7 linked regions of the Callithrix jacchus genome follow. The protein of the gene in region 2 purifies or fractionates together with the protein of the main gene of each other region. This does not show direct contact. Links are inferred from orthologs where the notes say so. Each region holds a gene or a part of one and is shown on either strand. Other genes may lie near its edges. The genes, in order: USP49, FKBP5, CDK4, PTGES3, MCMBP, MAP3K7 and NUDCD3.

Region 1 (3,500 bases), about 6.4 Mb from region 2:
GCATCTGCGGCTGTCCCTGAGGAGCGCGCTGCGGCGGGACCACGTCCTCGCCCGAAGCCGTGGACCGCAGCGTCCGCCCGCGTCTCACCGGCAGGTCCTGCTTCTGGCCCCGGACCGCCAGGAGGGAGCTTCTCAGCAGCTTCAGGTCCCCCTCCGGGTTATCATTGAGCACGTAGTCCTTGCACAGGTAACAGAACACATAGAGATCCCAGACTTCCATGGCTAGCGGGTGTCCAGTCTCCTCAAAGTGTTTTAGGGCGTGGTCCTCAATGTAGCGGCCACAGGCCACGTGCGAGCACTTGAGGCAGGCCCACACGGACTCGGTGGTGGCACACTCTAAGCAGCACCACTTCTGAGGGTTCAGGATGGAGTGGTCCTGGGCGAGCCGTAACCGCCCTACATGTTTGCATCTATCCATGTCTTACAGAAGTCGCCACTCTCTCAACCTGGCATGACAGAGTCCCCAAAAAAGAAAAAGAAAACACTTTCAGAAAAAACATTTTCCTTAAAAAAAAAAAAAAAAAAAAGACAAAAAGGCTTGCAATTGGTATTTCAACTCTAGATTCATTCATTTTCAATTCCAAATTGGTTCCTTTGAAAGTTAAAAAAAAAAAAAAAGGCACATTTGGTATAAAGGCGGAGAATTACAGGACAGTTAAATTACTTAAAAAGAAGTATCATACGGAAGGGTTAGCACAAATTTGAAACTTTATGGTGTTTCACATTCCAGTGAGAGAGACGAAGAGCCTCAAATAAAAAGTCAATATTAGGTTGGATGCAATATAATGCAAAGCAGAGGTATCAGGATATAAGGTAAAAATACGAAAGTCCTCAACAGTACAAAGTATCATTTTTATGAGACGTTGCTAAGGAACATTGTCTATGTGGGTTTTTTTATTTTGTTTTGAGAGGGAGTCTCACTCTTATTGCCCAGGTTGGAGTGCAGTGGCGGAATTTCACCTCATTGCAACCTCTGCTTCCCGGCTTCAAGCGATTTTCCTGCCTCAGCCTCCCAGGAAACTGATATTACAGGTGCGTGTCACCACGCCTGGCTAATTTTTTTGTATTTTTAGTAGGGACGAGGTTTAACCATGTTGGCCAGGCTGGTCTCAAACTCCTGACCTCAAATGATCCACCCACCCACCTCAGCCTCCCAAAGTGCTGAGATTACAGGCATGAGCCACCAGGCTTGGCCTGTTTTTTAGAGACAGGTCTGTGTTGCCCAAGCTGGTCTTGAGCTAGCCTCAAGTGATCCTCCCGCCTCAGGCTCCCAAAGTGCTGGGATTACAGGCATGAGCCACTGCACCCAGCCAACATCTGTCTTTTTGAAAAGAACATCTGCATCTTGCAGTAAGGGTAGGAAAACTTACCTTCTTTACTGAAAGGATAGGTAAGTAAAGAATTGGACAAATCTGACTTAGGACAAGAGATAAAGTGGCTACTGGTATTATAATAGTTAACCAAACCACCGAAATAACAACAACAACAACAAAAAAAAAACAACGAATCTTCCAGATATATATATATGTATGAAAATGCTTTTTAAAACAGTGGTAACATCCTAATCATGTTTATTTTTTTCTATTCCCAACAATGCTTCTTCAGTATTGTTCATCAGAGAAGCCTTGTGGGCAATTTCTCCAAGGGAAAGAAGCTATACAACTATTTTAAAAGAAAACTTTTATGTCTTTGAAACTTTGAAGGCGTTTTCCCCTCAATACCAGAACTTTAAATTCCCTAGGCTAGGCACAGTGGCTTGCACACTTTGGGAGGCTAAGGTGGGAGCTTGAGGCCAGGAGTTCAAGACCAGCCTGGCCAACACAGACCTCTTTCTATCTATCTATTTACTTATATATTTACATATTGTGAGACAGGGTCTCACTCTGTCACCCAGGCTGGAGTGCAGTGGTGTGATCTTCTCTCACTGCAGCCTCCACCTCCTGGGCTCAAGTTATCCTCCTACCTCAGCCTCTAGAGTAGCTGAGACCATAGGTGCATGCCACCATGCCCAGCTAATTTTATTTTTTGTAGAGATAGGGTCTATGAGGCTGGGCGCAGTGGCTCACGCCTGTAATCCTAGCACTTTGAGAGGCCAATGCAGGCAGATCATGAGGTCAGGAGTTCCAGACCAGCCTGGCCAACATGGCAAAACCGCATCTCTACTAAAAAATGCAAAAATTAGCTAGGTGTGGTGGCAGGCACCTGTAATTCCAGCTACTCGGGAGGCTGAGGGAGGAAAATTGCTTGAAATCGGGAGGTGGAGGGTACAGTGAGCCAAGATCGTGCCACTGCACTCTAGCCTGGGCGACAAGAGCAAGACTCTGTCTCAAAAAAAAAAAAAAAAAAAAATGGGGTCTATGTTGCACAGGCTGGTCTGGAACTTAGGGGTACAAGTGATTCTCCTGCCTTGGCCTCCCAAAGTGTTAGGATTACAGGTGTGAGCCACCACACCTGGCCTCATCTCTTAAAAGTAAAAAAAAAAAAAAAAAAAAAGACTAGGCATGGTGGCTCACACCTGTAATCCCAGGACTTTGGGAGTCCAAGGTGGGTGAATCATCTGAGGTCAGGAGTTTGAGACCAGCCTGACCAACATGGTGAAACCCCGTCTCTACTAAAAAAATAAAAATAAACAAAAATTAGCCGGACATGGTAGCAGGCACCAGTAGTCCCAGCTACTTGGGAGGCTGAGGCAGGAAAATCGCTAGAACCCAGGAGGCAGAGAGTGCAGTAAACTGAGATCGCACCATTGCACTCCAGCCTCAGGGACAGCGTGAGACTCTGTCTCAAAAATAAAAATAAAGAAATAAATAAATAAGGCTGGGCGCGGTGGCTTATGCCTGTAACCCCAGTACTTTGGGAGGCCAAGGAGGGCAGATCACCTGAGGTTGGGAGTTCAAGACCAGACTGACCAACATGGAGAAACACCATCTCTTCTAAAAATACAAAAAATTAGCCAGGCATGGTGGCACATGCGTGTAATCCCAGCTACTCGGGAGGCTGAGGCAGGAGAATCGCTTGAACCTGGGAGGCGGAGGTTGCAGTGAGCCGAGACTGCGCCACTGCACTACAGCCTGGGTGACAAGAGCAAAACTCCGTCTCAAAAATAATAATAATAAATAAATAAATAATTAAATTCCCTAAAGTGAATTCTCAATCCTCTTTCAAAGTAAATTTCTTTCACCTCCATTTATTCTCTACTTTTGATTTCTGAGAGCAAATGCAGTTTCATGATTAAGAGGTCAACCCAGAAAAGTTCTAAATCCAGTGTACTCTGAGTAGCCCCTTTAATTTTCCAGATGCCTTGTTTGGCCTAGTCCTATTTATGTATGCCAAAACCCATAAATAAATAAATATACTGCAGGACAGAATTAGAGAATCTTCCCTTTTTTATTGCCTGTTCCAGATGGCAGAGGCATGTCTTTATATAAGAAATCCTCAAATCATACAAAGGGATGCGATCTACACTACTCTCAAGCCAGATCATGATTTTCTTATTGCTA
Region 2 (3,500 bases):
TGAACTTCTCAAGAGCCCCTCTCAAATCCCCTTGAGATCTTCCTAGAAATTGCATTACGTGCAGAAAATAATTTGGGTAGTAAATTTTGATCAGTAGTATATAATTATCTTGAGCACCATTTTTTAAATACACTATTTCCATCTCTTTTGGCAAGAGAGCTTTGGTAAACTGTTTACTGAATTTCAAAATTCATCCTTTCTGAAATATATGCTGTCTGTTCCTAGGCCCTTGGACTGGACAGTGCCAATGAGAAAGGCTTGTATAGAAGAGGTGAAGCCCAGCTGCTCATGAACGAGTTTGAGTCAGCCAAAGGTGACTTTGAGAAAGTGTTGGAAGTAAACCCCCAGAACAAGGCTGCAAGACTGCAGATCATCGTGTGCCAGAAAAAGGCCAAGGAGCACAACGAGCGGGACCGCAGGATATACGCCAACATGTTCAAGAAGTTTGCAGAGCAGGATGCCAAGGTGTGTGTAGAGCCCACTGACTGCAGGTGGATCAAGAGCCTGACTGTGCCCCTTTGATTTTAAGGGACAGGAACAGTTAACCCAAGAGGCTCAAGAGTAGGGAAAACGATTTCCAATCTCATCTGAGGCCGAGGCTGCTTTGGATCCAAAGGTTGAGTAGGGCAGTTCAGCAGTTCCACTCACCCAAGGCAGACGTTGTGAAAGGAGAGAGAACTAAATTCCCTTCAGCTGTATTAGATTGATTCAGAAGTAATTGCCATTACTTTCAATGGCAAAAACAGTTTTGCACCAACATTTTTCCCACCCAGACTGGAGTGCAGTGGTGCTATCATGGCTCACTGCAGCCTCAACTTCCCTGGTTCAAGTGATCCTCCCACCTCAGCCTCCTGAGTAGTTGGGACTACAAGCACACACCACCACACTCAGCTAATTTTTTTTTATTTTTTGTAAAGATAGGGTTTCACTTTGTTGCCCAGGCTGGCCTCAAACCCCTGGCTTCAAAGGATCCTCCTGCCTTGGTCTCCCAAAGTGCTGGGAACATAGATATGAGCCACCATGCCCAACCCTTTTGTCATTTTTGAAAAATTGTAAACCATCAGGATTTTTTTTTTCAGGTAATACTTCCTCATTAAGACTTCTGACTTTCTCAGGAAATGGGGTGTTACAGGAGCCCCACAATCATACCCATTATCTTGAGAGTCAGCAGCCAGCCTGGCAAATGTGACAGGAGAGGTCTGTCTAGAGAGACATATGTCCTACAGCATAGTTGGTACTCTGGTCTCATCTCAGTCTCCATGAATGCCCAGACTTCATTATCCCACAGCTGTCCTATGGGTCAGGCTGGTTATTTACACCAAAGAAAGGTGAAGCTCCCACTCTAACTACTGTAGCACAGCCCTGACCTATCCACCTAGATAACAGAGAGAAAATCACTGCAATACTCTAATGTTTGGGACCTGATAAACAGTCTGGAGGAGCCAGGAATTACTTCACTTCTTTTTCCTCTAACCTTCTTGATTGCTTATTTCTTCCTTAGGAAGAGGCCAATAAAGCAATGAGCAAGAAGACTTCAGAAGGGGTCACTAATGAAAAATTAACAGTCAGTCATGCAGTGGAAGAAGAGAAACCTGAAGGCCACGTATGACGCTACGCCAAGAAGGAAAGAGTCCTAATGAACTCGGCCCCCCTCCTCAATGGGCTTTCCCCCAACTCAGGACTGAACAGTGTTTAATGTCAAGTTTGTTATAGTCTATGTGATTCTGGAAGCAAATGGCAAAACAAAACCAGTAGCTTCCCAAAAACAGCCCCCTGCTGCTGCCCGGAGGGTTCACTGAAGGGTGGCATGGGACCACTCCAGGTGGAACAAAACAGAAATGACTGTGGTGTGGAGGGAGGGAGGCAGCAGCTTCAGTCCAGCTCATTTCAGTTTCTATCAGCCTTCAGTATCCAATTCAGGGTCCCTCAAGAACATCCTAACCACGTGGGGCTGTTAGTCTTTACCTTTGACCTTTCATAGCACTGCAGAAACCTTTAAAAAAAAAAAAACACTTCTTGAATTTCTCCTTTCCCACAGGTGGGTGGGGTAGGGGAAGGAGGATGAGGTTTTGTTTTTTAAATGACTGAAGTGCTGAAAATGCAGTCTGTTGCATTTTTAAACAACAGAACCCACAGTAGAGGGGTCTCGTGTCTCCCCAGTTCCACAGCAGTGTCACAGACGTGAAAGCCAGAACCTCAGAGGCCACTTGCTTGCTGACTTAGCCACCTCCCAAAGTCCCCCTCTTCAGCCAGCCTCCTACTGAGAGTGGGTTTCTACCGCACACAGCCTGTCCCTGGGGGAGTAATCCTGTCATTCCTAAAACACCCTTCACCATTGATAATGAGCAGACAGGAGTTTCTGGATTAGTTTTTCCTATTTTGGATGAAATTCTGAGATACTGAAATGTGAAAAGAGTAATCAGAATTGTGCTTTTTCTCCCTTTCTCTATTCCTTTTATGAAATAATACTCAATACACAGTACTTCCTGCCAGCACTGCTACTGTTTAGCTTCTTGTTTCATTCTAATCCTTGATATGAAGAATTTAAGGCTTGTTCTTACAGTATATTTGACCTGGAGTGGATCTATTTACATAACCATTTAGGATCCATGCAGCTTTTTTTGTCTTTTTAAAATTACTGGCTCATAAGCATATGTATCCTGGCTTATGGAACTTTATTTACACTCCTCTATCATTCATGCAAAAAAATTTTGACTTTTTAATACTAAGCTTAATTTTTAAACACAAAATCTGTAGACTTGACAAGTAAGTAGTTGCTTTTCTGCATTAGGGGTTTCACCTGCAGGTTTGACACAGCTGCTCGCTTTTCCTGCCCTAGCAAGCTTCTCTGTTCTGGCGAGAGTTGTGAAAGAGTTGAAGATAGCTTCATGCAGGTACAGCCAGTAGCCTAAATCTCCAGTACTTGAGCTAAGCATTGAACTAGGGCAAGTCTTAAAATAAATGTGTACATGTAGTTGAATTTTAGTCCTTACGGGTAAACAGACTGAGCATGGCTCTCTATTCCCTCAGCCTAAGAAACACGGGAATGCATTTGGCAACCCAGGGAACCATTCACTTAAACCTGGAACATCTCACTTTTTTAAATCCTAAAAAACACTGGCAGTTATATTTTAGTTTTATGGTGGTTTTATCAAAAGACTTGTATTTGACTAGGGCCCTCTTAAAACCTAAAAATCAAATTATTTCCCTTTTATAATAGTTTTCTTCTCCATGGAACCAGTTTGTTTTTTCCTTTAATAACTAAAATCCCTCTAATTTCTCATTTATGCTTTTGTCTTTTTTATGAAATATTTCCTTTAAAAGCCCCAGTCTCACCTAGGAAATAGGAAGAGCAAAAGTTGATTTTGCTTCCTTGCTGAACTGTTTGGAAAGCTCTGTAGAGTATGGTTCCAGTAAAGCCAAGATGGAAATTTGATACTAAAAAGGCTACCTGACTTTTTGCAGATAACAAGAAAGCTATTCCAAGACTCACATGATGC
Region 3 (4,106 bases), on a different chromosome or scaffold from region 2:
TTCAGAGTTTCCACAGAAGAGAGGCCTAAGGTAAGAAGAGACATAAGGTAGCTGTCATTTTTAAAGTATCATAGTCGAATGGCTGTTACTACTTAGTAGCCCAAAATAAAAAGTATAGCAAATAAAGACCAGTAATTCCAGCACTTTGGGATGCTAAGGTGAGACAACTCTTTGAGCCCAGGAGTTCTAGATAAGCCTGGACAAGCAAGACCTTGTCTCTTAAAAAAAAAAAAAAAAAAAAATGTCAGGTGCGGTGGCTCACGCCTGTAATCCCAGCACTTTGGGAGGCAGAGGTGGGCAGATCATGAGGCCAAGAGATGGAGACCATCCTGGCCTACATGGTGAAACCCCGTCTCTACTAAAAATATAAAAATTAGCTTGGCACGGTGGTGTACACCTGTAGTCCCAGCTCCTCGGGAGGCTGAGGCAGAAGAATTGCTTGAACCCGGGAGGTAGAGGTTGCCGTGAGCCAAGATCGCACCACTGCACTCCAGCCTAGCAACAGAGCCACACTCTGTCTTGAAAAAAAAAAAAAAAAGCCATTCATGGTGGCGTGCGCCTGTAGTAGTCCCAGCTACTCAGGAGGCTGAGACAGGAGGACTGCTTGAGCCCAAGAGGTAGAGGGTACAGTGAGCTGTAATTGTGCCACTGCACTCCAGCCTGGGTGATAGAGTGAGACCTTGTCTCAAATAAATAAATAAATAAAGGAGAATAAAGGGATATGAAGTTCCCAATTCCAGAACATTTTAGTGCTTCCCGTTATGGCCAAGGTAGTCAGTAGAACTCAAGTAAACGAATGGGGCCAGGTGCAGTAGGTCATGCTTGTAATTCCAGCACTTTGAGAGGTAGAGTTGGGAGGACTGCTTGAGTGTAAGAGTTCAAGACCAGCCTGGGCAATATACTGAGACCCCATCTCTACAAAAATATTAAAAAATAGCCAGGCATGGAGGTGTGCGCCTATAGTGTGAGCTACTCGGGAGGCTGAGATGGGAGGATCACTTGAGCCCAGGAGGTTGAAGCTTCAGTGAACTGTGATCATGTCATTGCAATCTAGCCTGGACAACAGAGAAGACCCTGTCTCCAACAAAAAAAAAAAAAAAAAAGAAGAAGAATGGAAGGGAGGTTTGGATGTGGTTTATGAACAAGAGATTTGGGGAATTCAAGGTGGTCCAGGGTATGTGGGTCCCATACTTTCGACGAAACATCTCAGCAAAGATACAGCCAACACTCCACATGTCCACAGGTGTTGCATATGTGGACTGCAGAAGAACTTCGGGAGCTCGGTACCAGAGTGTAACCACCTAAAGGGGATAGGAAAAATGGATGGGGATCCCATGCGTTACCATGAAATACAACTGACTTAACTGAACACATGAAGCACATGACTTCTCAATTGTTATGGGCCACCACTCTCCTACTCCCAACCAGAACCCATATTGGTACCATCTTTCTACTGACCACAGGTGTAAGTGCCATCTGGTAGCTGTAGATTCTGGCCAGGCCAAAGTCAGCCAGCTTGACTGTTCCACCACTTGTCACCAGAATGTTCTCTGGCTTCAGATCTCGGTGAACGATGCAATTGGCATGAAGAAAATCTAGGCCTCTTAGAAACTGGCGCATCAGATCCTAGTTCAGAAGGGGGAGGAACAGATGCACTGGAAACTAGGCACCATCCCTGAAATCCCAGGAGGTTCTACTACAAAGGTCCCAATTCACCTCTCAATGCCTACCAACCCCACTCACCTTGATGGTCTCTGCAGGCAAGCCTGGTGGGGGTGCCTTGTCCAGATATGTCCTTAGATCTTGGTCTACATGCTCAAACACCAGGGTTACCTTGATCTCTCGGTCAGTTCGCGATGTGGCACAGACATCCATCAGCCTGGCCAGAGTAAATGCTCACTTGTCAATCCCCTTTAACCCACATGACCTCTCATTATTTCCTCTGGGTCCCCACTTCTCACCAGATCACCACACCCCACCTATAGACTGTCTTTTCCCTTTACTGCCCACTCCCAACCCTCCACCGCCTTCTCACCGGACAACGTTGGGATGCTCAAAAGCCTCCAGTCGCCTCAGTAAGGCCACTTCACGAACTGTGCTGACGGGAAGGCCTCCTCCAGCTCCTCCATTGGGGACTCTCACACTCTTGAGGGCCACAAAGTGGCCACTGTGGGGATCACGGGCCTTGTACACTGTCCCATAGGCACCGACACCAATTTCAGCCACTGGCTCATATCGAGAGGTAGCCATTCTCAGATCAAGGGAGACCCTACAATCACAAAGACTCCTATCACTAAAAGTCCCTTACAGAGTTAGGATGGTATGAGCCTGCAGCAACAAAGGGACTCCCAAGAAAAAGCACAAAGAACAACACCAGCATCCCATCCCCCGCTCCCAATCTTCCTTGGGCCGGCCCCGGAGATAACACAATGACTCAATACCAACCCCTGCAGCCACGTGAGGCCCTACAATAAAAAATGCCTTTTCTTTTGGGACAATCGCGCCCCGTACAAAGATCACACATGACACACGCCTTGCATCGAAGATCTTACACCTCAGTCCCTAAAATTATACCTTCCCACGACCACAAAGGCCCCATTTCCCGCCCTTGAACGACCCTTTCATAACCAGCTCTCGAAACGCACGCGTGGAAAGCTGGGATGGGGCTGCACTTACCTCACGCCAGGCCGGGGTGCTGCGGGGGCGGCCCGTTATCGGGGCCCCGGAGCCGGTTCCTGCGGCCCCATACACCCGGGCTCTGTCCCGGGCAGCTGGACGCAGAGGGCCCGACCATAGACACAGGCCGCAGGCTAGAGAGGCCCCCTCACCCCCACCCTCACCATGTGACCAGATGCCAAAGAGGCGCGCGGAAACTGGGAGGGCGGGGCGAACGCCGGACGTTCTGGGCACGTGACCGCCAGCCAAGCGCTGTGGGGGCGGCCAGGAGCCGCTTTGACGGGGAGGAGAGCTAAGAGCGTAAGAGGGGCGGAGGGGAGATACAGCCATGTGATCTGTTGCTATCACACGTGACCGCTTGACATTGCTCGGAGGAGCAGAGGTGTGGTTACGCGAAGGGCACGTGACTAGCTGCCACAACCCCGCTGCGGGTGGGGGGGCGCGGTAGGGGGCAAGAGAGGGTGGAGCCCAAGGCGGTGCCATGGCAACCCAGGCCACCCAGAGCCCAACTCCGGGCTGAAAGATTGTTTCACTGGTCTTTCAGCCTGACTACATTGGGGAGAGGGTGGGAGTTGGGGGACCAGAGGTGGTACTATCACCTTTTTGCTTCACCGTGAGAAAACATACTCTCATTTGTGCCATTGTTTCACTCATTCATTCTACAAAATTGTACTGAGTGCTTGTTGCCAGTGTGTATGTGGGTTTTTATTTTGTTTTGTTTTTGGTGTCTGTCACTGGCTCTTTAAAGTAGTGGTACGACTATCTATAAAGATGTAGCCAACAATGGGGTCTTATAAAATAGGTAGTAGACAATGCCCACTGGAGGGCAAAACTTCAATTAGGGGATGGACAGAAGGCAGATTAATACAGTAAGACAACAGGAACAGTGGCAAAGTAATGCCCTCTAGTTCCCAACTTCCAAACCTTCCTGGAAGTGTTAATGCAAAGACTTGAGGCCATCTGGCAGAGAAGTTATTGATGAGCAGGAGACAGGAATACTTGACCTTTATGTTTTTTGTTTTTGTTTTTTCAGTAGGAAGATTCTATGATTATGTGAGATTAAGATATATGTGTGTATATATATACTTCTAGGTATATATATATGTATGTATGTTATATTACTTATTACATGTCGTAGACAGGCGCATGTGCAAGAAGTTACCACCACACCCCCTGCACCCTCCAGACAACCACAGTAAATGGGAATGACGTGCTTTTCTGCAAGCTTGTGACTGTTCATTTGGAGTCACTGTGCTTCCCTTTTTCCCTAGTGCAGCTTTCTTAGCACTTAGCACCATCCAGAACCAGCACTTAGCACCATTTTTCCCAAATGGCCTCTGCCCACAGACACCTAGGTTGACAGAGGTAGATTTCTCCTACCTTTTTTGTTTTATTGGCTCCAGGTTCTTTATCTCCCAGCCCTTTAGGGG
Region 4 (4,155 bases), on a different chromosome or scaffold from region 2:
TAACTTAGGATGTAAAGAAATGTAACTAGGAAATCGCTAAAGAGCAAATGAGTAAATCAACTGAGAAAACACTCTCCCAAGCCCTTAATGCACCCAGCATAATCTCTCTCCAGATCTTTAAAGAAAAAAAAAAGGTTTTATTAGCCAGGCATGGTGGTGCTTGCCTGCAGTCCTAGCTACTCAGGAGACTGAGGCAAGGAGGATTGCTTGAGCTCGGGAGGTGAAGTGGAGGTTGCTGTGAGCTGAGATCACGCCACTGCACTCTAGGCTGGGCGATAGAGAAAGACCCTGACTCAAAATAAATAAATAAATAAATAAACCCGCATCAGCCAGATTCTTCCTAGGACTGGATGACGACCCAGTAAAGGATTCTTCCACCTCAAACAACCGACTTACAACATTCATTTTGTAATTTCACTTAAATCTTTAACTTGGTAAGAGTCCCTGAAGAATATACCAAATGACACATACTGAATATTTTTAAAAGGATGAAATTAGCTGGTCTCTTTCAAAACATTCATCTTTTCCCTCAACACCCTGCATGTGGCATCGGATCACTTGTTTTGAAAGTAGCTTTTTTTTTTTTTTTTTAACCAGAGAGGCTACTTTTTGGAATAGCCTCTCTACTGCTACATTTTGAGACGGAGTCTCCCTCTATCGTCCAGGATGGAGTGCAATGGCTCAATAATCTTGGCTCACTGCAACCTCCACCTCCAGAGTTAAGGCGATTCTCCTGCCTGAGCCGCCAGACCAGCCGGGATTACAGGTGAGCACCACCATGCCCGACTAGTTTTTGTATTTTTAGTAGAGACGGGGTTTCACAGTATTGACGAGGCTGGTCTCGAACTCCTGATCCCACCGCCTGACCCTCCCAAAGTGCAGGACAGGTGTGAGCCACTGCACCCTGACTTACATTGACTTTTCTTTCAAGTTTTAAAATCTACTTAACTTAGCCATTTCTTACCTATTTAAATATCTTACGTGGCCTCCAGAAAGTGCTCCTACCTCAAGCCAATTTTAAACGTATTTTTCGCGAAAAGATACGTTCAGCTGTATTAAAAGTTGCTAACACCTCATCTGACAATTTTCCCCTTACAGGTTTTCAGAGTATAAAAGGTTAAGACTGAAGTCCCTTTTACATTACCTAGAAGGAAAAGCAAAAACTACTTTACATAGATTCGAATTTGTAAAAACCCCGTTTACGTACCACTTTCAGGGAGGGGGCTCCTCCAAAATTCTAATTTACGCCCTTACAGTAATACACGCTGTGCTCTAGAAGCTTGTTCTCAGCGACAAACTGGCTTCAGTGTACCCCTCACTCATCCCTTTAGACTTTTAGCCAATATATTCACTGTCAGTATCATGGCTTGAATTAAGTAAACCCTTGAATGTTTGTTACTTTTCCGCAGGAATAAAGTTACTCCCCTCATCTCTCCTAAATGGAGTGTGGGCGGGGGAACGCTCCCCTTCAATTGTTCTCAGTATCTTTTAAGACTTAGCTAATAACTTAAAAAATAACGTCCCGTCAAAAAAAAAAAACAAAACCAAACCCTGTAAAACCAGGAGCCCTCACTGGATGTGGCAGTGCCATGAATTCTTATTCGGTTAAAATCAATTAAGGCTTTCCTTTACCATAAAACGAAGATTGCTATAGAACTTGTATTCACCTACACACCATCAAATTTAAGCTTTTTAGGACAACAGTAAGTTAATTACATATCTACTTCATCCTACACTGAGGCAGGATAGTGAAACCTCACCTAAAGTTTAACATGGAACACTGAAAATGTCCGTAGGTATTCTTCCAAAGTCGACACGTGCCCAACTACCTGCTCAACGGTAACTCCTCACTGCCAGGGAAGCGGCTGAGCTCCGGCAACCTCCCGTGTTTTGAACAGACTGGGAGTTAGGAGGCGGCCTAGAAGTACCCACACTCAAGAAACCCAGACACAGGAGAGGGAAGTAAGTTGCGGCGTGGGCATGGCTTCCCTCCAGTTACCTAGCAGTACCATGCAGCTCACGGCGAGGTCCGCGTGGGGCTCTCCCAGGAGCTCCGCCAGGTACCTGGCGACACCCACTACAGGTGCGCTCGGCCCAGGGCCTGGCCCCGGGACCACGGAGCAGAACTGGAGCGCCCAGGCGGCCGAGAAGCGACCCGCGGGGGTTCACGCTTCAGGGCGCCGCATGGCGAGCAGCTACCAGGAGCTCAAGGCCTAGGGTGAAGTTACAGAAAGCGAGTCGGCCAGACGGCCAAAGGGGGAAAAGTAGCATTTCCGGCACGGGGAAGCGGAGATCTGGAGGAAAATGTCCTCCACTCGCCAACGGTAACCGGAACAAGGATACTAGATCTCCCGCCCCCAGGCAGGCACAACTGCCACCACCGATGCGAGAAAGACTGGGGGGGCCGAAAGTGGAGGGAGGGCCGCGGCCGCATTCCCGGAGCCCCCGACGCGGCCTTGGCCTCACTCCGGGCGACCTTCCCTCGGCGGGGTGTCGCACTCACATTGTGAACGGGGCAGGGGGACGGGCGAACGGGTGGGCGGGCCTCTCTGGCGGCGGCTGCTGCTAAGGAGTCGACTTCTCTCCGCTGGCGACTCCGCGTTTTCTCCCCGGTCGCGGCCTCTTCTCGCTTCCCTCAGGCGACGGCGACAGCGGCGGGCTCGACCTAGCTCCCCAGAATGCACCGCGCGGAAAGAGCGGCTCCTCCGGTCGGGGAGAAGAGGAAAGTGTAGGAAAACGGGCGCGAGGACGGAGAATGAACGTGCGTGCGTGCGAACGAGGGGTGGTGAGGCCGGGCGGCGGCTGGTGACGCAGCAAAATGCCCGGGCCTTGCCACCGCGCGTGCGCAGTCCTTGTTTTCGGGCTCCGGCGCGGCTTTCTAGAGATATCTACGGAAAGGGCGGGGCCTCCCAGCTCCTTCGCGATCCTTCCTGGCGCCGGCCCCGCCCTTCGTCCGCCACCCTACCCCCACCCCGGCCCCCGCTAGTCCTTACGCGTTCCCGCCTCTCCTCCCGCGGTGTCCTCTCGCGTTAGAAAACCGTTGGCCGCCCAACCGCCCGGCCACGCTCTTTGGGCGATTTCTCTGAGAAACCGCTGCGTTGGCAGCGGGAGGAAAGGCCGAGGCGGAGGGACGCGGAGTCGGGATCGTGGAGAATTGAAATGGAGCGTTGGTTACTCTTGAGGGAGTAAATCAGCTCACGCAGGAAACATTCCACCACAAAAACGTGAAAAGCCTGTGCTGTGGAAAAGGGCTCACTTCACCATTTTTCTGAAGGTTGGAGGCTCTGTCCAGGGACAGCGGACATTCGAGGTTCTTGGCGGAGGAGGAGCGTTTGCCATTCGGGGCTGGCTTTTGCCCCTGTCTTGAGACCTTAGTACTGTAGATGAGCCACGAAGGATATTTGAGGGGAGAGTCTAGGTTTCTGGAATGGAGAGGCTAAGACACTTTGTGTCTCCATGCACATTATTTGGGGAAGAAGGGATTCCCCGTCGCTTCCTACAACACACTACTAGGGTGTAGTAGGGCATAGTAACCGAGAGACCCAACACAGCCCTGCTCACCAAGAGGCTACTTAATGGTGGAGTAGGGGAGAAATACTCCAGTGCACTGCATTTTGAACAGGAAGGAGGTTTAAGGAAAGTGCTATATTTCTGAAGAATGAGGTTTCATAATAAGCATTAAGGTGCTTAGTGTCTGCTGTACAAGGCAGATTATTGGGGAGCTACGAAACGTGGATCCTAGCTCAGATACCGTTAAAGAGGGAAATTGGGCTGGTGCAGTGGCTCACGCCTATAATCCCAGCACTTTGCGAAGCCAAGGAGGGTGGTTCCCTAGGTCACGAGTTCGAGACCAGCCTGACCAACATAGTGAAACCCCATCTCTACAAAAATACTAATTAGCCAGGCATGGTGGCATGCGCTTGTAATGCCAAAAACTAGGGAGTATGAGGTGGGAGGATAGCTCGAACCCGGGAGGCGGAGGCTGCAGTGAGCACAGATCATGCCATTGTACTCCAACCTGGGCGACAGAGTGAAAGCCTGTCTCAAAACGAAGCTGGGCGCGGTGGATCACGCCTGTGATCCCAGCACTTTGGGAGGCCGAGGCGGGTGGATCACGAGGTCAAGAGATCGAGACCAGCCTGGTCAACAAGGTGA
Region 5 (3,500 bases), on a different chromosome or scaffold from region 2:
AGGTATAATGAATTCCTCAATTTTTCAAGGCTGACCCTGTTTCCTTGGTTACAATTTTAAGTTAGGCCTTACAGGAAAAAAATTTACTCGATCCTTTGTCCGTCTCCAACTAAGTAAGTTACTCACTAAAAGAAGTTAAGTCTTGATACCACTGACAGCTTAAAAGGTAACATCCTAACCTTTGGAAATTCTGGTTGTCATAACCATGATACTATATAGTTTGTTAGTTTGCACTATGAAAACTAACTGTTCTGGAGAAAACATACCTGCAGTTGTATGAGGCTGTTGCTGGAGCGGCAGATGTTAGCTGATTTAATGTACGTGGAACCAACTGAAAAACTCATATAAAATGCTAAAAATCCAAATACAATCAAAGCAACTAAATGACATTAGGAAAAAAACTTTCTAAAGGGGGTACTGTTTTTTAAGTTTGCTATTTTGTTTTCATATTTGGGCAAAACTTTGTGGCATAGCATTCCCTTATGCATGGTTCTAAAATGCACTGGGATAGAAGAAAATAAGGAAAATGGTGTATCTTGGTTTATTTTGCCCCCAAAAGCTACATTCATTCCATTTAAAGAACTATTATTCTGAGATTGACCTTTTACGAAAAAAAAAAAAAAGGTGACAATACAGTGATTTATTCAGATTACTTGGCAACGTAAATTGGCAACCCTACAGTCCCCCAAATTTTTGGAAATATTACTACTGGTCCATGAAATACAAAAGTCTGGGAACCACTGCCATATAAAAGTCTATTTTGCAGGCTCTTAACAAATGTTAAGTGGGAAAAAGTTTCTGTGGCCAAACGTCTGGGAAATGACAGTACAGAATTTCACGTAGTCATGTGAATCAGTGGAAGCACGCCTCCATCCCCAGCGTTGGGACTACTGAATGCACCCAACCCACTGCTAACTGGAAAACAAAAACCTGAAGCGCATAACTCATCGGACTTTGAAATTGCAACAACCTTCTTCATCTCAGCATTTCAACAGTCTGGCCTATGACTCCACTGAAGCTAAGGAAATGGTATAATCAGGAACATTATCAATATTAAACTTTTAATATCAAATACTTTTTTTTTACATCATTACTAATTTATATAATTATAAAACAAACTTCAAAAGCTCCATGAAATCAGTAAGGTAAAAGTCCTTACTGCGTATCATATAAACATCAGATGTTAACCAGGCTTAAGGAAACGTCATTGGTTTGTGATAGAAATTACCTATAAAACAATGTGGTATAAATGAATATCTGAACTTTACAATTATGTGGCTACAATTTGCCCATTGCTCTTCATAGGTATCAGATTTTTAAAGTTCATTTCCATTCACACATTTTTGCTGCTGAAGCCTCGTTCTTCTTAAAGACTCCAGCTGCTTTGCTCTCAGCCATCGTTCTCTTGACAGCGTTGTCTGACCAGCACTGAGAGATAGACACCTGGTTTGAAATACAAACAAATTTAAGTCTAGAACTGGGACAGTAAGTCTTACATTTTTTGAAGACCTAGGAATACTTTGTAAAATACAAACCACGTATGGGAGACAAGACCGTCTGGTAGTTACACACAAGTCAATAGCCAAGTTCGACTTCTACAAAGAAATCTTTGAAGAGTCAGAATTGGAGGGTGGCTCACTCTTTGAAGCTTAGAGAACAAGCAGCATGCCTGTTCCACTGAAGGGATCACCAGTCAACCTTGATTGCCCCTCAATGAGCCCTTTCATACAGCGTTTTTAAAAGGAAAAGTTCATTTTTGTTTTCAGAAGTCTGGCTCAGTTACTGCTGAATAACTGAGAAGATTTATATACACAAGCTCAGCGAAAAAGCAATGATGGACATGCACCACTTACCGAGCCACCACGAGCAGCTGGTGAAGATCATCAGCAGTGATGCTCTGAGGGTCGTTCTTCCGCATTTCCACAAAGTCATCTTCAACTGCCTTTATCAAAAGAGTAAATGTAAATGACATGCATTTTTGTAAGAAAGAGAAAATTAACATGGTTCCTTGACTGATGTGAAAATGAGGATGTCAACCCCTTAGACAAAGGAGACAATAGGGAATGTACCAAAGCATATACATAAATAATGCTGGTGAAAAATAATGAAACTCAAGATTCATTTAAGGTCAAGCAAACATATAAATCGGCAACTGGCATAGGAAACAATGCTTTTCAACAAAGGGAAAAGTGATGCTAGTGAAAATGGCAGAGAAAGGACTGCAGAAAACTGTCTCTACTTTAAGAACATCGATCAAAATCAACTTTTTTAAAACTCTGGAAATAAAACCACACTTGCAGCAATCCAGAGAGCATTTATGCAAGAAAACCAGGTGATTATCGGCAAGAATGTTGAGGCTTGTTGGCATTTTAACATGTCCTATTCCTATATTCTACCGTCTTCCCCTCCAGGTGATGTTAATAAGCTTCAAAAACCAACAGCCTGGCAGCCACTGGAAAAAGAACAGGGCTAGAGCTCTTTCAAAGTGCCATTTCCAAAGAACTGTCTTCTGACCACCTGTCTAGTGGCTCCCTGGAATAACCATTTACAAGGTTTTCTTCATGTAACCTGACTGGAAGCCTGTCTACTATGAACCACCTCTTTCCCCAGGGCATTTATCAAAAACAATCAGAAGAAATTGTCAATCACTTTAGCTACGTGACACACTGGATAACAGTTGTGGCAAACAGGCTAACCCAAACCCTTAAACGGAAAAGCTAGTTGGGAAATGAGATGTCTGCAGAGGGCTCTGAAAACCTCACATATGTAACTCCTAGGAACTTAGAAGGCTGCAGACATGCTCAGAGACCTTCAACTCCCACCTCTGGATAACCTGGAGGCTCTGTGCAAGCAGGAAATGAAGACTAAGGCAGGCTTGTAAATTGTAAAAGGCTAAGTGTTGAAGGCTTGACCCAGCTTTTACTTTTATTTATGATTATTATTCACCCTTAGACTGGGAGACCAACTGGGAGAAAGAAAATTTCTTGGCATTTAAGAAAATTTCTTTCCAATCATTAACCACAAAACTAACAGCAAAGACTTCAGTGCCCACATGTGACAAAGATACAAACGTTATAAATTAGTCAAAAAAGTTACTAAACAACCTACCAACAATAACAAATAGCAACAACAATAAATCCTAAGTAGGTTTAATTTCCAGAGTCTTGACTTCCAAAGCAGAGTTGCCATATTATATTATTTAAAATGTCTGGTTGTGGCTAGCGTGGTGGCTCACGCCTATGATCCCAGCACACTGGGAAGCCAAGGTGGGAGGACTACTTGAAGCCAGGAGTTGACCAGCCTGGGCAATAAAACAAGACCTCATCTCTACAAAAAAACAAAACAAAACTTTAGTTAGGCATGGTGGCGCACACCTGCAATCTCAGCTACTGAGGCAAGAGGATCACCTGAGCCCAGGAATTTACTGTGACTATGCTACTGTACTACTCCAGCCTGGGTGACAGAATGAGACCCCATCAACCAATCAAATAAAATGTCTG
Region 6 (4,130 bases), about 53 Mb from region 2:
ACTACTGAGTTACAATATTAGAAATGCAAGATCAGCTGATGTCTTAGAAATATGTATCAATTAAAGGACTGCATATTCAGCCTGTGATTGAGTTTTTTTTTTAACTTTCTAGTTATATTGATATAATACAATTCAATTATATTGAGAAATACAAAATATGATTTTCTTAATTTAGAAGGTAATATTCTTATACAACATAAAATACTGAAAGCAACATAAAATAGTTTTTGTTTCTGACTATCTTCCTCTGTTATTTTACTCACAATTTTACTGGAAGTGTAATCTAAGTTGACAAAGAGCTAATAAGGGTCCATGGTTCACCCTGGATTGTATAACATTGCTTTAATATGTGCAAATGAAGATGATGGAAATTATGTAATGCTTTCAATATCAGAAATGTCTAAATTCAACCTTCTATGCAAAAATGAACAGAGTATTAAAAATGAAAAGGAATAAAACAAAAAACCCAAATAACTGACTACCATTAGAAAAAAATTTTCATCTATAAACAAAAACCTACTCCTTAGAAATGTCCTACATACACACACACCCCCACATACACACAAAGGTTGAAACATTATTTAAACTGAGAGAAGGGTCTTGGAAACACACAAACCTAACAAGAAGTGAAACAGCTTTAGGGAAAAGCATCAAAATGATAACTACCTCCTTAGAACTTGTTTTTCCGTGAATCAAGAATGCAAAAAGCCTTAAAAAGTAGCAAACAGAAACTAAGGTTTTAAGAACCAAATGAAATGTTTGTGAAAGCATTTAGTAGACCATAAAGCACAAGTTATTATTATATAACAATTTGTAGTCTACAAGCACAGCAAGCAATTCACCACAGAGCAGACGCAAACACTTATTTAAAAACTGCAATTCTTGTATACTGACTCACTGAATTTTTATTCTTAAAAAAGAATATTAGCCATGAAAGCTGGATCAACTATCCACTTCTGGAAAAGGAATTTATCATAGCCTTAACGCAAAAAAAAATACACTAAAAACATTTCTCCCTTTTTTCAGGTCTTCTTTTAGCTATTTGACCTTAAAGCAGGTCACATTTCCTCTCTGGAACTAGGTTTCCTAATATGTGTCAGGCCCTGTGGTAGGTGTTTTGCATATAATGTCTAAGACTATGATGTGTTATGCAGATAAAATCAAACAGAATTTATTATCTCTTTCTTACAGTAAACTAAAATTTAAAGGGGTTGGGAAACTTGCCCCAAATCACACAGCTAATAAATGGCGTATCTGATACACTGAACTTTCCTCTAACTCCAAACACCTTGCTCTTCCCATCATATTATCTTGTAAAATAAGGATGTTCTCAATGAATCTTTAAAGTTACTTTATGTGATAAAAATACATATAATCCAGTAATCCACTACTCTTCCAAAACATGCACAGGAAAAAAAATTTATTTGTTGAACGTTATCTTACTACTTTGAACTTGCTGATACTTAAAAATAATTTTATAATTTTAAAGTAGACACAACTTGTTGACAATCTATAATATTTCACTAGGTTTTTCATGGTATATAAAACGCAAAGTGCTTAAAAATTTTTTAAAAAGGCAAATAAAAGGTAAGAGCTGATATTTTAAACCGAAGTTTTTAACAAATTCTAGAGTGTCTTTAAAATATATATACGCAGTTTTTACTTTTCTAAATTTGATAGTCATTAGAACCCAATTACCTCTCTGTTAATTTGAAAAGAAGCAATGCTTTAAAGTCACATTGAAATAACAGGTTCTAAAATAAATTACTGCAGAATAAAGAGGATATGGGTTTTCTGATAGCGATTTCTAGTCTAATGTTAATATTCTGATTGTCACTGTAATCATTCGTTCTCTTCAGAGTATGCTACTTGAAACATATTTTGATCGTAGACCAGTCTATGTTACTTATGGTGAAATTTACCTACATTAACCCAACTGGAAGCCGAGCATTTAAATCGGAGAAATTGAGAACCATTCGGTGCCAAGGGAAACACTTTATTAGACTTGACGATCTATTAATTTAAGAAGCATTTATTGAGCATCCCCTACATGCCAGGCATTGAGGTAGAAGTCGAACATCATACAATCTTTGACCATTCAGAACATTACGGCCAGCGAACTGAAACTCCAGAACGGCTACGATCTTCGCTGAAACTACTACTTACAGATACGAGAACTGGTGGACCACAATATCTCACCAGTTCATTCTCCTGTTTATCACCGGGATATCAAATCCAAAATCAAGAGTGCCCAAGTGAGGGAAAAAAAGCTACTCCCGAACAGTTGAGCTCAGAGAGTAACTCCTACTCCCGCGTCACTGAGGGATGTGGGGTCTCCCGGGTGGACCCACTAGGGTCCAGCGAATTAGAGGGGTCGGGGAGACACCTTCAAAGCCAGGACCTCTGGGGCACAGGCAGAGGAGGGGTCGGGGCGGGCCGGGACCGGCGTCTACATGCCGGGCCTCGCTCACCTCTTCCACCTCGATTTCCTTGTAGTCTATCTCTTCAAAGTTGAGGACCTGAGAAGGGGCTTCGATCATCTCACCGGCCGAAGACGAGGAGGAGGAGGAGGCGGCTGAGGCTGTAGACATGATCCCTCGCGGCGCCCGGGTGGCCCGGGAACGGTGCCGCCCGGACAGTCCGGGTGAGACCCGCGCCCACCCGCCTCCGGACCGACCTTCAGCCTGGAGCCGCGCACTCCTACCACCCGTCGGTCCGTGGCGGGTGTAGGGGCAGCGGCCACAGCCGTGTCCCGGCTCTGGCTCCGCTGCGTTTTCCGCTGCCGGGCCCCGCCCACTATACTTCCGGTTCCGGGCTGAAATCGGAAACAGGAAGCGGGCCGTAAACTCTGGGGGAGGAGATGGGAGGGGAAATTTTTTTGACTTGGAAAGTAAAGGAGGGACACGTTGGGGGTGGGGTAGAGTAAGCTAAGAAGCAAGCTTGGACCTCTAGAACAAATTTCGCGAGACCTTTATTACAGGGCCTCAGCAACCGGATGATAACGCGAGAGCTGATGCCTAACGTAATTAAAGTGCGCGAGCGGAAGTGGCGCGGAACGTGACGGAAAATCAGTACGGTTGGTCCTTTAAGGACCAGCGGGAAAGATGAAAGATGGGGTTTCGTCTCTGCTGCGTGAAATATGTTTTGGCCTCACTGCGTCTCCTTTTAGCTGCCTGCAGACAGGCAAGATGGTATTGAAATGTGTTTTTGTGACGAAGCTTACCTTTAAGTTTCAGCCCTAAACTAAGTTGACCTGTTTCTTTAAGACAGCTTACGAAATGTATTTTCCTCAGTGTGGGATATGGAACGAAGCAGTTGCACCTGTTACTTTGAGCTCGTCCCTGACACTATGAGAGATTCTAAAAGAGCGAATCAGCTTATGCAACATGAATAACTGTGGAGGTTGAGTGCTCATGAACAGAAGTTAATATTTTGGTGTTACAACTTTATATGGAGGAGATGATTAAGAGACATAATTTGGCGTATTCATCTCAAGTTATGGATTACGAGTGCAGGGCACTGTTGCTTTAGATTGGTAAATGAATCATCAACAGTCGTCTTGAAAATCAAATTTTTACATCTCCATTTTCAGGACTTGAGAAAATAGGCTCAGACTTTAAAGCAATTATGGTCCTCTGAAACTAGATCAATCTTGTCCCCAAAATGGGCAGCATTGCCTATATTGTACTATCAGCACAAGTTTTAGTTTTAAACTAACTGTTGAACTCTATTTAGTCCGTTTGACATAAAGCCTAACCGTGGAAAATTGGAGTTAGAAATGAAAATGTAAAGACCAAGGATGGATTCACGCTAATGTCAAATTCTAAGTTTCAGTAAGAGACTGAAAGAGGGAAGTGAGGAAAATAGTAATTGGAATGTCACCAGAGGAAAGCTCTCCAATGAAGAAGTAGCCAACCAAGTATATGCTGTATAAAAAAGAATTATGTTAAACACAATTGGGATTGCAAATAGGTCATTGGATTTGACCATCAAGAAGTTACCAACTCCTGGGAAACATTGTGTCACTTTTTTTTTATCATAGTTCTAGTGACACGCAATGACAGTTTGATAAATGGATAAAAAAAGAAAGAATAATTTATTTTCACTGTACATACTCTCTTTGTATGATC
Region 7 (3,500 bases), on a different chromosome or scaffold from region 2:
GACACACAGGAATGCCTGCAGTCCACTTTTGTCTCAGGAAAGGTCTGAGTGCTGATCTTGACACCCTGTGCTCCTTCTGTTGTAAGATCAAGTCTACTAATCTGCCCTTTGCACTCTGGGCATCCTACATCGGGCCCCCATTCAGCCACCCAGTTCCCAGGGTACGAGTGTGGTGGCTGCAGGGTTCTACAGCTGTCATTTGCCCTACAGCTGGCCAGGATTCTTTTGAAAGGTTCAGAGGCTTTGTGCAGCTGCCTGCTGAAGTCATCCGTTCTTGTGTTTGGTTGAGGCTGTCCAGCCTCATACCTCCAGTGGGCAGAGGAGGGGGCTTCATGTAGTCTTCTCTGTACCCCTAGCCACTCCATGTGTGCTGCAGGACCTTGTTCTCAAAATGGTCTTTCTAAAGTCTCTGATGTGAATTGCCCACAAGAAATTGATAGTAATGTCAATTAATCTGTAGTATATAGTACACATCTTTGATATGCTTGTTGCTGCATCACTTCGATTTTAAAAAAAGAAAAAGAAGCCAAGTATGGTGGACTGCACCCGTAGTCTTAAGTACTCAGGAGGCTGAGGTGGGAGAATCGCTTAAGCCAAGGAGTTTGAGGCTGCACTGAGCTGTGACCACACCACTGCACTCTAGCCTAGGAAACAGTGAGACCCCATCTCTAAAAATTAAAACAGCAAAGAGAAAACTCTCTTGTCAGGAAGACTGTGTTTTATGTAAGGAGAAGCCCTGGCGTTGAGAGCCCCACAGCCTCATCTTCTGGGCCTAGGCTACAGGGTTTTCTGCAACAGGGACCATGGATCATATTGGTAGAGTAACTACTGGCCCTGCACAGTCTCTTTTGTCCCTGGTCAGAATGTCAGAAGGAAGGAGAGATCATCCCCAGCCCTCAGTATACTCATGGTGGCCACATGAGGAGGGCAGATACGGAGTCCCTATGAGGAGAGAGGGCCTGCTAGCTCAGGTACCGATGCTTCCCTCAGGATCCAATATTCCTAATGTCCCTTGCCATGGCCACACACTCAGGCTTGCTTCTGACCCTCGGAGGCTTGATAGTTCCAGAATAGCCAGATGTTGGCAACAGCTTAGTTAACCAACTCTGACTGCATCTGCAAGGATGCAGTGGGGAATTCCTGACTGGGGGGGTCTACCACTGGACATTCCGAAGTCTCTTCCTCCATGCCACATCCTGGGTCAACCCTGGATTGTCTGATGATCTAGTTCTTGATGTTGATAACTGGGGTGCTAGGGTATCCTCTCTGCACACCTTCATCAGATGGGGCTTGAACATTTTACGCACCTTCTCTATGACCCCAGTGGGGCTGGGACACTTCCTCTTCATGTCATAGTCAGTGCCTAGTGGGACCATAGACGTTGCAGGCTGTTTGGAATTTGTTGATTCCAAACAGATTGAAAAGGGACAAGATGAACCATGAAGAGCAGCCAGAGCTTTGCTGGGGACAGAAGATGGGGGGTTAGAAACTCAGTCTGTGGAGCACAGTCTTGCAGAGAAGTTGTTAGTCACACAGTGCCTCCCTTGGTCGAAGGCTGCTCCAGGGCAGTACGGTTCTCTGGCCAGTCAGTTTTGCCAGGTGAGTGCCTGAGCCCTGAGGAAGCAGGAAGGCTCTTTGCCTGCAGTCAGAGTCTGCTCTGGGAGAAAGTGCACAGTGCCTTGTGATCTTGTTTAATCTCTTTATTTTCTGTTTGTAGAAAGTCCATGAGATGCTGAAGAAGGGGTGGGATGCTGAAGGTTCTCCCTTCCGAGGCCAGCGATTTGACCCTGCCATGTTCAACATCTCCCCAGGGGCTGTGCAGTTTTAATGACCAGAAGGAAAGGAAACCCTCACCGGTGGGGAGGCAGAGGCCTTGTCCTCAGCCGCCCTCCTCGGCTCCCCCTGTGTTCTAGGGACTTGTTCGTCTTGTTTACCCCTAGCCATCCTTTCAATGGTGAACCAGGCCTTCCACCCTGACCTTGCATCTCCAGACTGTTCCAGAGAAGGTGCAGTGACAGCTGCTGTGTGGTGGCCGCTGTGGCTGACACTGAGTGAAGGTGTTTGAAATGCAAGAGAGGATATCCCAACAAATTGGGATCATGTGCTTCTGTCTCCACAGCAACCAGCCACTGCAGGCAGCATGTCTTTCCCCTGCTCTCTGCTTGCTGTTGTTTTGACGCTGTTCTGCTTGCATGTGTTCTGGTTGGGGTGTAGAGTTGTTGCTGGGCTCTCAGGCGAAGCTGAAGTCATTGAAGTGTGTGAAGCTCAGTGCTTGCATGAGGGCAAGCAAGGAATGACTGTGCAACTGTGCCTGGGGCTGCTTTGGGAAGCTCCTTGCCCCTTGACCTCTTTCGGGAGCACTGATGTGGTCTTCTTGCTTATCCCCTTATAAATGTGCTCTGCCTGCCTCAGCGTCATGGTCAGAGCAGTGGAAGCTGGAGCCCTGTTTGCACATTCTAGATGTTGGGAGACAGCCTAGGTTCTGGGCTCAGGTCCACATGCAATGGGGATTCTGTCTGTTCTCTGTGGCGACCATGCTTTGGTTCTTGTTGAAGTGAACCAAGCCTGGCCACCACGGCATGGCATGCCCTGCTTGGCTCCCTGTAAGATGTCCTCTTTGGGTTCACGGTGTCAAAGCGTGGGCAGGAGTGGAGAGCTAGCGCCCTCAGGAGGAGACTACAGCATGTTCATCAGCTCATCAGCAGAGCACGCCAGCCACAAGTCCTGACAAGCCTTGACCTTGAGGGGCTTCTGGGAGAAGAGGAATTTCTGCATGGGGCATGAAGGCATACTGTCCCACCACAACTGAACCAGAAGACAGTGAAGGCCCCCATCCTCTGTGCCAGGTGCCAGACTGCGCTCCCTGGAGCTTATGGCCCCATCTTACCTGTTCTCCAGGGACTGGCCACCACCTCCAAGGTGGTCGACCTCCAAGGACCTCCAAGCCCAGGCCCATGGCTGCTGACTGACTCCAGCCAAGATGCAAAGACAAGATCATGGGACAGGGCCCCAGGCCTATGCCCTGAGTACTCACAGGGGCTCTGGGTGCCTGTCACTGGGAGTATGGTTCAGCTGCCACTGGCACTGTCCATTTGCCTGTCCATCAAGCTCGGGGCATGGATAAGCCACACAGCAGGGCAGTGCACCCTGGCACCATGCACAGCCAGCAAGAATCAAGGCCCGCAGATGCTAAGAGAGCCTACCATCAGGGGAAGGACCCTGCCCCTGCATGCTCTCTCTGTGTATACTTGGGTTGCGGGGGCTGTCTAGGAGAGTAAGTTGGTGGTTGGTTTCTGATTTACAGTGGTGGCTGACAGCCCTTGTGAGAAAGCATTCCTGGAAAGTCTTCTGTAGGTCCAGACTGTTGCTCTGATCATCATGGGAGAACAGAAGACCCCATGTACCCGCTTTGGAATGTGAGAGCCTTGTCTGATATTTGCCACTGAACTGGTGAAGCCCTGCTTAAGAGCTCTTGACCCTGGGGAGCAGAACTCTTGTCA

What was found.
Region 1: the proteins of FKBP5 (region 2) and USP49 purify together in Homo sapiens (affinity purification with western blotting; 4 studies listed by BioGRID and IntAct, with this or other methods). This does not show direct contact. The link is inferred for Callithrix jacchus from reciprocal best matches to the Homo sapiens genes FKBP5 and USP49.
Region 3: the proteins of FKBP5 (region 2) and CDK4 purify together in Homo sapiens (affinity purification with mass spectrometry; 3 studies listed by BioGRID and IntAct, counting the BioPlex papers as one, with this or other methods). This does not show direct contact. The link is inferred for Callithrix jacchus from reciprocal best matches to the Homo sapiens genes FKBP5 and CDK4.
Region 4: the proteins of FKBP5 (region 2) and PTGES3 purify together in Homo sapiens (affinity purification with mass spectrometry; 4 studies listed by BioGRID and IntAct, with this or other methods). This does not show direct contact. The link is inferred for Callithrix jacchus from reciprocal best matches to the Homo sapiens genes FKBP5 and PTGES3.
Region 5: the proteins of FKBP5 (region 2) and MCMBP purify together in Homo sapiens (affinity purification with mass spectrometry; 3 studies listed by BioGRID and IntAct, with this or other methods). This does not show direct contact. The link is inferred for Callithrix jacchus from reciprocal best matches to the Homo sapiens genes FKBP5 and MCMBP.
Region 6: the proteins of FKBP5 (region 2) and MAP3K7 purify together in Homo sapiens (affinity purification with mass spectrometry; 4 studies listed by BioGRID and IntAct, with this or other methods). This does not show direct contact. The link is inferred for Callithrix jacchus from reciprocal best matches to the Homo sapiens genes FKBP5 and MAP3K7.
Region 7: the proteins of FKBP5 (region 2) and NUDCD3 purify together in Homo sapiens (affinity purification with mass spectrometry; 3 studies listed by BioGRID and IntAct, with this or other methods). This does not show direct contact. The link is inferred for Callithrix jacchus from reciprocal best matches to the Homo sapiens genes FKBP5 and NUDCD3.

Annotation. Positions count from the first base shown.
Region 1 is NC_133505.1:50,309,474-50,312,973, forward strand, and holds part of USP49 (ubiquitin carboxyl-terminal hydrolase 49), read right to left. Parts: intron 447-3,500; 5' UTR 419-446; coding exon 1-418. UniProt on the Homo sapiens protein: Deubiquitinase that plays a role in several cellular processes including transcriptional regulation, cell cycle progression or innate immunity.
Region 2 is NC_133505.1:43,874,946-43,878,445, reverse strand, and holds part of FKBP5 (peptidyl-prolyl cis-trans isomerase FKBP5), read left to right. Parts: intron 1-225; coding exon 226-465; intron 466-1,501; coding exon 1,502-1,609; 3' UTR 1,610-3,500. UniProt on the Homo sapiens protein: Immunophilin protein with PPIase and co-chaperone activities. Component of unligated steroid receptors heterocomplexes through interaction with heat-shock protein 90 (HSP90).
Region 3 is NC_133510.1:61,953,418-61,957,523, reverse strand, and holds the start of CDK4 (cyclin-dependent kinase 4), read right to left. Parts: upstream 2,801-4,106; 5' UTR 2,677-2,800; intron 2,270-2,676; 5' UTR 2,251-2,269; coding exon 2,036-2,250; intron 1,880-2,035; coding exon 1,744-1,879; intron 1,627-1,743; coding exon 1,459-1,626; intron 1,302-1,458; coding exon 1,192-1,301; intron 26-1,191; coding exon 1-25.
Region 4 is NC_133510.1:62,968,771-62,972,925, reverse strand, and holds the start of PTGES3 (prostaglandin E synthase 3), read right to left. Parts: upstream 2,801-4,155; 5' UTR 2,506-2,800; coding exon of another isoform or gene 2,504-2,505; 5' UTR 1,775-2,503; coding exon 1,761-1,774; intron 1-1,760. UniProt on the Homo sapiens protein: Cytosolic prostaglandin synthase that catalyzes the oxidoreduction of prostaglandin endoperoxide H2 (PGH2) to prostaglandin E2 (PGE2).
Region 5 is NC_133513.1:112,985,467-112,988,966, reverse strand, and holds part of MCMBP (mini-chromosome maintenance complex-binding protein), read right to left. Parts: intron 1,943-3,500; coding exon 1,854-1,942; intron 1,444-1,853; coding exon 1,317-1,443; 3' UTR 1-1,316. UniProt on the Homo sapiens protein: Associated component of the MCM complex that acts as a regulator of DNA replication.
Region 6 is NC_133505.1:96,667,375-96,671,504, forward strand, and holds the start of MAP3K7 (mitogen-activated protein kinase kinase kinase 7), read right to left. Parts: upstream 2,801-4,130; 5' UTR 2,592-2,800; coding exon 2,472-2,591; intron 1-2,471. UniProt on the Homo sapiens protein: Serine/threonine kinase which acts as an essential component of the MAP kinase signal transduction pathway. Plays an important role in the cascades of cellular responses evoked by changes in the environment.
Region 7 is NC_133512.1:12,467,159-12,470,658, reverse strand, and holds part of NUDCD3 (nudC domain-containing protein 3), read left to right. Parts: intron 1-1,717; coding exon 1,718-1,828; 3' UTR 1,829-3,500.